2 separate regions of the Mus musculus genome follow, and region 1 is reported to be linked to region 2. The links are microRNA targets in miRTarBase. Many come from high-throughput screens and were not tested one by one. Region 2 holds a microRNA gene; the other region holds the end of a gene's coding sequence.
What was found. The annotated mature microRNA mmu-miR-700-3p reads CACGCGGGAACCGAGUCCACC and lies in region 2 at 2,868-2,888, shown strand. An mRNA with a match to its seed (bases 2 to 7 or 8) in the 3' UTR can be bound and repressed. Matches are read on the target gene's strand: a 7mer-m8 pairs with bases 2 to 8, a 7mer-A1 pairs with bases 2 to 7 and ends in A, and an 8mer does both.

Region 1 (5,379 bases), not on the chromosome of region 2:
TTCACTTAAGCCTCCTAATAACCCAGGGAGGCCATTTTATTGCCATCTTCACTTTACAATGAAAAACTGGAGTCAGAGAAGGGCTTAGGTTACATGCTTCAAATGGCACAGCTAGGATATAGCAAGGTTCCCAAGTGCCTGCTGTTTACTGCTAAGCCCTAAAGTGACTTGGGTCTGGGGAGCCTCGGGTTTGTCTCCATGCCTACACTCTTGTGTATTTTGTGTCGTAGATGAATATGAAGGAGATTGGAGCAACTCTTCTTCCTCTACCTCAGGGGCTGGTGACCCCTCATCTGGCAAAGAAAAGAGCTGGCTGTACACCCTAGATCCCATTCTGATCACCATCATCGCCATGAGCTCGCTGGGGGTCCTGCTGGGGGCCACCTGTGCGGGCCTCCTCCTTTACTGCACCTGCTCCTATTCGGGTCTGAGTTCGAGGAGCTGCACCACACTGGAGAACTACAACTTTGAGCTCTACGATGGCCTCAAGCACAAGGTCAAGATCAATCATCAGAAGTGCTGCTCGGAGGCATGACCGATTGTGTCTGGATCGCTTCTGGCGTTTCATTCCAGTGAGAGGGGCTAGCGAAGATTACAGTTTTGTTTTGTTTTGTTTTGTTTTCCCTTTGGAAACTGAATGCCATAATCTGGATCAAAGTGTTCCAGAATACTGAAGGTATGGACAGGACAGACAGGCCAGTCTAGGGAGAAAGGGAGATGCAGCTGTGAAGGGGATCGTTGCCCACCAGGACTGTGGTGGCCAAGTGAATGCAGGAACCGGGCCCGTGTTCTCTGCAGGGACACAGACAGGAGCGCATCTCTTCGGAGTCACAGTTCTGTTTCCTTTGTGGGTTTGTTATGATTATGATTGCTATTGTTATATTTTATTTTATTTTTGTCTGTGAGCAACTCAAAGAGGCAGAAGAGGATGGCTTATCCGGGGCAGAAAGTGGAGAGGTCAGTCCTGTTCTCCACATCTCTTTCTAGTCAACACTTGAAAAGCAAAGGGGCTTTTCAGCCCTTCCATCCTGAGAAATGGAACCTAAGAAACAAAAGCCACCCAGCTTAGCTCACCCTCAGATGGTCTCCCAACTCAAGAGACTTGCTGGGGTGTGTTCGGGTTCTGCCAGCCAACCCTAGGAGCTGCCGTTTCCGGTCCTAGCATATTGAAGTAGGATGTTATTGCCTTTAGCTTTTTTTAATCCAGGGGAAGATTGCCATTTTAGGGTCAGCTTGAACAATTCTTTCTTATATAAGATTTAAAGTAAAACATAACAGAAACTTCATACACCAGAACCCATAGACACACCTCTATGGTTAGACACAGACAAGCCTTAAAATGCTTTGATGACTGGGTGCCATTCCTTAATCTAGACCCAGAGTTTGTGGCTGTGGGATGTCCCTTGTAGGGTCTCAGCTGGTGGCTTTGCCTTTTCTTTTCCCTCCTATTTGTTCTTCTACAGCGTATACATATATTCACATGCACACAGCATGCTCATATGCAGCTCATGTGCACACACACACACACATACTTGGGGGGGGGGGAGGAAGTGGGAGATTTTGCAGTCTCTATTCTTTAGTCTCAGAGCAGAGAGAAAGAATAACAAAGGAAGAGAGAGAAACGCAGCCTGTATTGGGAAGAATGACCAGTGTGGACAGAGACATTTTGTTGAATGAGTCTCCTTGATAGGTTAAGAACATTGATTTCTTGTGGGAGGCTACATCCTTATAGGGATATAAGTGCAAAGACATGCACTTCTACCTACAAGTCAGCAAGTTCTATGGATGGAGAAGCTTACACACAGCTTCAACCTCAGGAGACCTGAGTTCTTATTCATACACATATGTGCCATGTACGTACACACACACACACACACACACACACACACACACACACACACACAGCAGTTCATGTGTTTTTTATTAAGTGCCTTGAAAAACAATGAAGAAAAATGTCCTTTCCTCTAGGTAGAAATCACCACTGTCTCACAAGTTAAGGCTCCTCCTGCTTCTCCTGCCCCAGTGACTCCATTCCCAGCCCCCCTACCCACGGCTGAGCCACAGTGGACTGAGTCTGGCTACCCGGGGAAAAAAATCAGAGCCCTAGATGACTCCAGAAAGGGAGGCATCAGGAAGATAATGAAATTGTGTGAAGGATAAGATTGTCCTCATCAAGATCCAAATCTTGACTTTCTGTTAATGCCTAAAGATTGTCTGTGCCCTAGAAATACAGTCTAAGCCCCACCAGTATGTCCAGACTGTTGCATATCAGTGGTAAACTGTCTGACCGTTTTTTTTGCTGCTGTGATCACCCACAATTTCATTTGTCTTGCACCCAGGCAAAAGGGGGAGGGTGGACGGGACTGGCTGTGGTCCCTTTAAATGTTAACTTATGAAAACCCTAGTTCAGATGGTAATGTCGCAGTGTTTTGTATGAAGAGGGGGAACAGTCATGCCGACATCTATTTATTCCCGCGTGTGTGTGTGTGTGTGTGTGTGTGTGTGTGTGTGTGTGTGTGTGTGTGTGTGTTTGTGTGTGTGTGTGTGTGTGTGTGTGTGTGTGTGTGTGTCGCACCCTTGAGTTCTCTGTATCTACTGTGTATGTGAGTGGTAACGTGGGACTCAGTGCTGGTGTTGTGATTTTTGACCTAGAGCCTGGGTGTTACTGCTGATCTTGGCACTCGTTGGCACAGTGGTAGAGGTGAAAAGTTCATTTGTCTAGCCCAGGGGGGCATAGCGTTAGGAGCCCTCTGAGCTGGGCGTGCAGTAGAAGAAAGTTGGTATTTAGCTCACCCTCTTCTTCACCCTCCCATGCAGCTAGGATTCAGAAAGCTGGGGGTTTCTAAGGAGGAGAGAAGTGCCCACTCCGGGGGTCCTGCCCTCACATGCCCAGTGGACCATTTACCATAATCCACCCCCCCCCAAGACCAGCCCTGTCTAAAGTTATGTGCAACTCAACCTGCATTCCTCTACAAGTCCTGCATCCACTTCACTTTGGCTGATTTGAGGCTCTGGGTGAGTCCTGAGGGCCGAAAAGAAGCAGGGTCCCCGGGGCTACATGTAGATACCTCACCAAGGCTGGAGGCTGGTCTGTTGTAAGATGTAAAGAAAGACAGCTGAGTCTGATTCTAACTTAGCCAGAGGACACCTTGACGAATCTGTTATCTCTATCTGCAGGTAAGCTAGCCAGCCTGTCTCCTTGAATTGTTCCCTTTGGGAAATCTAATTCACAGTATTGATCTCCTTTTTTGCCTTGTACTGAATGACACATTACCTCCACGCTCTCCCGGACTAACTGGTCCACAGGGCCACAGGGTTGCTTGCTCTCTCTTGCAGGAATGGGGAGTCGACAGGGATGAGGGTCCAAGGAATGAGCATGAATGACAAGAAAACAAGGGGAACATTAAGCTTTTCCAGGGTGTGCGGTTAAAGGTATTTGACCATTCACTGGCTGAGCCAGATCACGGGAACTCGAGAGCTTTTACTGTGATTCTTCAATGTAAAAAATAAAACAATGTCAGACTGTGTTTATATGATTTGTATAAAGCCTTTTTAAGATTACTATTTAAATAAACATTATACCAGAACTATTTTTCCTACATTGTCTTTCTTGAGAACAAAGAGAGCCGGGACCTGAGTGACCAGATTGCCCCATGTGCTGGAGACTTTTCTGGGTTTTACCACTCAGAGTTTTGTGTCCTGGAAAATGCTCCAAGTTAGTCATCTTGGACAGCTATAACAGATACCGTATGTCAGGTGACTTAGACTCAACCATTTGATGCTTAGTGCTGGAGACTGAGATCAAGTTCAAGCAACTACTAGCACATTTAGAGTCTTTCTAATTTGTAGACATCTACCTTCCCTTCATGAACCATATGGCTTTTCCTTCCTGAGTTTCTTTGTCTGTTTCTTCTTCCAAGAGTATTAACCTCATCCTTGCAACCTAGTCTAAGCCTAACTACTATCTATGACCCCACAACCTCCTAATACCATCTCAGAGGAAGTTAGATTCTCAATATGTGAATTTGGAGAGCATACCAACACCCGTAATTGTGAATGAACTCACATGGTTGGTCATTCTTTTAGGACAATAGGACTTGACACTGGAGTTAGGAGGTTGTACAACTTGTTGGCATTTTATAAAATGAAGAAATTCTGAAGTCAACAATGGCTCATCCAGCCAAGTGAGACACCTAACTAACTGTAGGTCTCACCCAGTAGACTTCGGGAGCCTCGGTCCCTCCTCCTACCCCTCCTTCCTTGTCCCTGCCATCTCAGAGTCCTTGCTGCTCACTTCATCTCTGACTCAATTTTCAACCTCTCCGATGGCCTCAAGGCCTAGGAGAGATCTCCAGGCATGGCCCAGGGCCTGCAGCACTGGCATCAAGTGCCACTCACTTCAGATGCATACTTCTGGTCCTATCCTGGATCTAACGAATCAGAAGCTCTGGGAACGCCTAGGCGGTCTGTATTTCAGAATCCCACCAGGGAATCCTGTTGCTCTTTCTCTTTTAGGAACCACTGGTCTCTCATCTGGGTATTATTCTCTAATTCAATATATGAGTTCCAAATGTTTTCTTCCAGTCCATGAGTTGTGTTTTCATTTAGTTTTTATTTTTCAATTATTTCTTTTAATTTTGAAATTAAAGTTGCATCATTTCCCCCTTCCCTTTCCTCTATGCTCTCTTTGAAATTTATAGTCCCTTTTTATTAACTGTTGTTACATGCATATGTGTACATACATATATATTCCTAATATAACTGGCTCTGTCTGTATAATGTTACTTGCATGTATGTTTTTAGGGCTATTTGGTATTGGATAACCAATTGGCTTGCTCTTCCCTGAGGGAGACTATTTCTCCTGTTCTTAGCATCCCTTAGTAACCTGCAGTTCTCTGTGTAGGGTTTAGACTGTGTGGTCTTTCCACCAACCACACTAAGCATGTCTATTGATGTCCTGTACAGATCATTTTTAGGGAGTCATGTTGCTGAGACTCTATGAGTGTAGCTTCTGACATTTCTAGGAGATACAATCTCACAGCAAACTCTCTGACTCTCTGGCTCTTACAATCTTTCTGCCACGTCTTCCACAATATTCCCCGATCTTTACATACATGAGTGTTTTATAAATATGTCCCTGACTAAACTCCACAACTCTACATTTTGATTGGTTGTGGGTTTCTGTAATGGTCTCCATCAATTGCAAAAGGAAGTTTCTTTGATGAGGGGTTTATACTTCCCTGTGGATTGGGCGCCCTCTTCTGGCATCCTCAGGCACCTGCACACATGAGCACACAGAAACATCTCCACATACACATAAATAAATAATAAAGACAAACCTTTAAAGGGGGAATAAAATCCTGATGTTCAATTGAATAA
Region 2 (5,379 bases):
CGAACTCAGAAATCCGCCTGCCTCTGCCTCCCGAGTACTGGGATTAAAGGCGTGTGCCACTGTGCCTGGCTTCAGCCTGCTTTCTTATAGAACCTAGAACCACAACCCAGGCTGGTATCATTCACAATGGGCAGGGCCTTCCCCACATTGGTCACTAAGAAAACTTCCTGCCTGCAGTCAGGTCTTCTGGAGACATTTTCTCAGTTGGGTTCCTGTCTCTTGATGACTAAAGCTTGCATCAGGTTGACATATAGTAGCCAGCACACCCACTCACACCACTAGCAAATACCTGGGAGAGTCAGCTGTAAAGGAGAAAAGTCTCGGCTTGTGGTTTGCAGGTTTCAGTCTGCATGTGATTGGCACTTTTCCTGTGAGCCTGCTGTGCAGTAGCACATAGGGGCAGAGCAAAGCTCTTCACTTCGTTCATGGGAAGGGGGAAGAGTAAGGGGTTGGGGTTCCACTGTCCCTTAGGGTATGTCCCCATGACTAAAGGCCTCCCTGCCTCCTGAAGGCTCCCAGTTTGACCTCTCAGGGGAGCAAGCCTCTATCTACTATGTAGAGCCCAAGGGTCACTTAGAGCCCAGACCACAGAGTAGCACGTTTATCAAGGGTCCAGGGCCTGTGGCCACTTCCAGTCCACCACCTGGAAGGTCACAGACAGTTTGAGAGACAGTTTTAATCACCCCTCCAAGAAAGTAACAATTACCATAAAGTTGGAAATGAAAGCCCTGTGGTGATGGTGCAGGCCTTTAATCTAAGAACTGGAGGCAGAGACCGTGAGATCTGTGAGTCAGGCCTACAGAGTGAGTTCCAGGACAGCCAGGGATACACGGAGAAACCCTGTCTCAGAAAAAGAAAAGAAAGGACAGCTGCTCACAAGCACGCCTTTCCCTGCAGGTGCAGGTGTCCGGGGAGGCCCGGGACAAGTCCTACTTACTGCCACCACAACCCACCAAGCAGTTCCTCATCTCCCCTCCCGCCTCACCCCCCGTGGGGTGGAAGCAGAGTGAAGATGCGATGCCAGTGATCAACTATGACCTGCTCTGCGCTGTCTCCAAGCTGGGCCCAGGTACTGCATTCCACCTTCGCTCTCCGAGTCCTCGGACATTGCTGTTCTGTGTGTTGGAGACTGTGTGCAGTATGGGGTGCAGAGCCCAGCAACACCAGCACCGTCCAGTGGGCGGTGTGGCCACACCAGTCTGAGTTCACACTCGAGCTGTACACTTTCCAGTGCTGTGGTCCTCAGCCAGTTGCCTAGCCTGGGTTATCTGAGTGTGTTCTAAGGATTAAACGCTGTCTGCAGCGTGATAACTTTAGCCATTCAGCCAGAAGTTAATATAGGCGGTTAGTGAACATCCTCACTGCTTTCTCTCTGCAAGCCAGTCAGCACAGTGTCTGTCGTTTGGCAGCTGCTTTGGGTGACAGTGACAATGACCTATCACCCTTCCAAAGTTCTATCTCTCTCTCTTTTCACTTCTTACTTCCTTCTTTTCTTGCTCGGTCTCACTCATCTTTAATACTGCAAGAAGCCGATTCTTCTAGGGCACTTCAGAGGCTTTTGAGAAGGCACTCTATGCTCCTGGGCGGTTGAGCTCTTCGATGGCAGAGGCCCTACCGTAGACACCGCTGCCTAGAGCTTAGCCAGTGCCTCCCATGGCGCCCCAACACCACTGTGAATTTAACTATCCCACCTTAGTTATCTATAGAACAGCAGTTAGCATTTATGTTAACATTTTAATTAGTATTTATGTAATCTAATCAATGGGTTCTCGTCTTCTTCCTGAGCACAAAGCCAGAGTAAGCATAGAACAGAAGAGACAAGAAGAGAAGAGATAGGAAGAGACAGGAGCTGTTTGCAAAGCAAGCCCTCCCCGAGTGAAGGAAGCTGTGTATATTCATACAGTGGCATGTGCACTCCTGAGCACGCGCAGTTGAAAATCATGGAGATGAACATGGTGGACAGGGTGTGCTTGGGTTCGCTTGCACCATGAAGTTTCACTTGAAAATAAGAGAAGGATGGTTTTAAGGTGTGTGCTAACAGGAGTCTGCCTTGAAGGTGCCTGAAGTGCTTGGATTTAACTCCTAGGGCTCAGGACAGAAGGGACGGTGTCTTTATTTATTTATTTTTTAAGACTTATGTATATGAGTACATTGTAGCTGTACAGATGGCTGTGAGCCTTCATGTGGTTGGGAATTGAATTTTTAGGACCTTTGCTTGCTCCCATCAACCCCCCTCGCTCTGGTCGGCCCTGCTCGCTAGTCCCTGCTTGCTCCAGCCCAAAGATTTATTTATTATTATATATAAGTACACTGTAGCTGACTTCAGACGTACCAGAAGAGGACATCAGATCTCATTGCGGGTAGTTGTGAGCCACCATGTGGTTGCTGGGATTTGAACTCTTCGGAAGAGCATCAAGTGCTCTTACTCACTGAGCCATCGCATTAGCCCGACAGTGTCTTTACAAATAGAATTTCTGCAGGGCATGGTGGTACTCAACTTTAACAGCACTTGGGAGGCAGAGGCTGGCAGCTCCCTGGGAGTTCCAGGTCAGCCTGTCTACACAGTGAGCCTAGGCCAGCCTGGGCTACATAGTGCGACTCCAGGGAGTTTTTGTTTTTGTTTTTGTTTTTTTTAAATGCCAGCACTTGGGAGATGGAAGCAGAAGAATTAGAGTTCAAGGTCAGCCTCAGCTACAGCAGCAAGTTTCTAACTGGCCCAGATTTCATGAGACGCAGTCTTAAAAAAAAAAAAAAAAATCAGCCACTGAATGACGTAGTAGAAGAGGAAGTTGGGAGATAGAAGAACTTGATTTCCTTCACTGGGAGTAAGGCTCCTTCCTGTGCTTGCAGGGGAGAAATACGAACTGCACGCGGGAACCGAGTCCACCCCCAGTGTGGTGGTGCACGTCTGTGAGAGCGAAACTGAAGAGGAAGAAGACACAAAAAATCCAAAACAGAAAATCACGCAGACGCGGCGCCCGGAGGCTCCCACGGCGGCACTGAGTGAGCGGCTGGACTGTGCACTCTGAGCGGCTGCGGTGCCTGCCGCGCCTGCCTGTCCCACCACTACAGCTGCGCCTGTCTAGGAGCACAGCCCAGGGATGCTGTTGCATCCGTCAGGCAGTTGGGCCAGCCTCCCCAGGCCAGAACGTGGGGTGAAGTAGCAGATTCGGCCAGCTGTTTGAAATTCTGAACAGTATTCTCAATGGCACTTTAAGTGACAAGGTTAGCCCTGACCATGTGGCACCTGTCTCCTCCCCCAGAAATATTAGTTCCCTTGAACCTGTAGAGCATTGGGTACCACAGGCCAGAACTAGAGTCACCCAGTGCACTGCCATTTTTACAGATTTAAAAATTAGTCTTACGGTTTCAGTACTTTGGTGTGGGTATTTTTGTACAGGTGTGGCAGTGTCTTAACAAATATATTGAGCAAAGGCTGAGTGTTGTTCAGTAGACATGACCTTTTTTTTGTTGTTGCATGAGAAGAAACCCGAGATACAAAATCATTTGTAGAAGTCATTTCTCACAAGTATTTTTTCACTAGCTTTGAGGATGAAAGGCCAAATGACTGAGATTGTCAGATCCAGATATCGTGGGCAGATGTGCTCTTAGCTCTCCTGGCTGTCCGTCTGTCCTGCCTCTCTTGGCAGTCAGTGACAGTGGTGTACAGGACTCTGCTCCCAGCTCAGCCCTTCCCAGCCTCGGCTCTGCTGGAGGAATCTCCCTTTGCCAGTGGGATGTGTCACCGGGAAGCTTGGCTGAGGACTACAGAGTTGGAGTCTGTGGGGCAGCTCTTCAGTTACTCTCTTGACCCTCCTAATGCCGGCCTGCTACTGCTTGAGGTTTCCTGTGCTGTGCGTGTAATCAAGGACGTTAGTCGTCTTAACTTTAGAAGATAATGATAAGACTTTGTGAAGACCGCTTTAAATAGGGAGAGCCAGTTTGCTTTTGTTTTCTTCAAAGACAGGGTTTCACTTTGTAGCTCCTGGGCCTCAAGTCCTCTGTGATCCTCCTGCCTCAGCTTCCCAAGTGCTGGAATTAGAGGGGTGAGCACCACACATTTCAAAGTTTTCCATTCAAGTATTTCAGCTGTTCAGAAAGAAAAATCACCTGTCCTTTCCCCCATGGATTAGGGAAAGTAATCATTCTTTTGGGGGTGGTTGGGTTTGTTTGTTTGGTTGGTTGGTTGGTTGGTTGGTTGATTTTGAGATAAGGTTTCACGCTGTAGCTCATGCTAGCCTGTCACTCATTATGTAGCCCAAGCTGGCCTTGAGGCCCAGACCACTCTCTTTCCTCAGGCTCTGTTTGTTTGGATTGTAGGCATGGGCTTGTTGTAGTCTATGCTTCCTCCTTTAACAATCATTTCCACCTTTGCTTGCAGTTGGCCCTCAGGTAGAATTGCTTCTTACACTTGAAGATGTGTTGTTGGGGCCTCCATAGGTCACTCAGCATCACTGGTCCCTTGCAGACTTTCCTGCCTTTGAGTGCTGGGCTACAGGTACATCAGCTGCTCCACTCATCAAGTATTCAGAGCTGGCTGGCCTAGGTGAAGGGGCTGGGCATAGAACAGAGAGGAACATAGCTGCAACTGCAAAGAAAAGAACGTAGAGAAATGAAGCCATGAGAGCCGTGTACTTTGCGTGACATGTTAGGGCTGAGTCCTTTTGTGGTAGGATTGATTTCATGAGCGTGCATGCATGAGCTCACACACAAACACACGCACACAGGTGCATTGTCTGTCATTAAAACCGGGTCCCATGTAGTCCAGGTTGACCTCAAACTTGCTGTGTCCCAAGGATGACCCTGAACTGCTCCTCCTGCCTCTGTCTCATAAGTGCTAGGACTGAGGGTGTGTGCCACCATACCTGACAAGAACAGGAGAGTGTCCCTTGCCTTCAGGTCCTGTGGAATGCTGAATTCTGCGTTTGCCATTGGGAGCCCTCCGTGCAGATTCAGTTGCAGATTACGATTCCACCCGCATTGGTTTTTAGATCCAAGTCATCTGTCAGATAAAGTGAGTTTGGTTTTGAGGTGACAGCTCAGTGTGGCCCAGGTTGGTCTCAAACGCCAGGCCTCAGTGGGTCTTCCCAGTTGACTGGATGCAGGCACACAGCTGCTGTAATCCTGAGACTTTGGAGGCGAATGCAGTAGATCAAGAGTTCATCCTTGGCTTACAGTGCTTTGCAGTGCTGAGCTCGGCAGTGTACTTCATTTGATTGTAAGGTAGACCCTAGCTGCCAGCAAGTGTGTTCTCACAGTTGGGGAGTTTGTGTGTTCCCCGTTATACAGTACACGTTCTCTCTAATTTTCTATGTGATCATAACCCTGTTTTAAAATTTGTCTTGGCTTTCATTTTCTACCCCTCAATGAAAGAACATT

Region 1: the mRNA of Nrp2 is a reported target of mmu-miR-700-3p. Seed matches in the 3' UTR shown: 7mer-m8 at 2,472-2,478.

The regions. Positions count from the first base shown.
Region 1 is chr1:62,815,103-62,820,481 of GRCm38, forward strand. Nrp2 (neuropilin 2) reads left to right here. Exons shown (of 17, transcript NM_001077404.1): 17 at 231-3,590. The coding sequence ends at 535. Among named protein-coding and RNA genes, the nearest start is that of Gm35120, 19 kb to the right of the region's middle.
Region 2 is chr4:135,414,070-135,419,448 of GRCm38, reverse strand. It overlaps Mir700 (microRNA 700), which reads left to right and starts at 2,816; the gene lies at 2,816-2,894. It overlaps Rcan3 (regulator of calcineurin 3), which reads left to right. Exons shown (of 5, transcript NM_022980.4): 4 at 898-1,069; 5 at 2,851-5,379. The coding sequence ends at 3,029.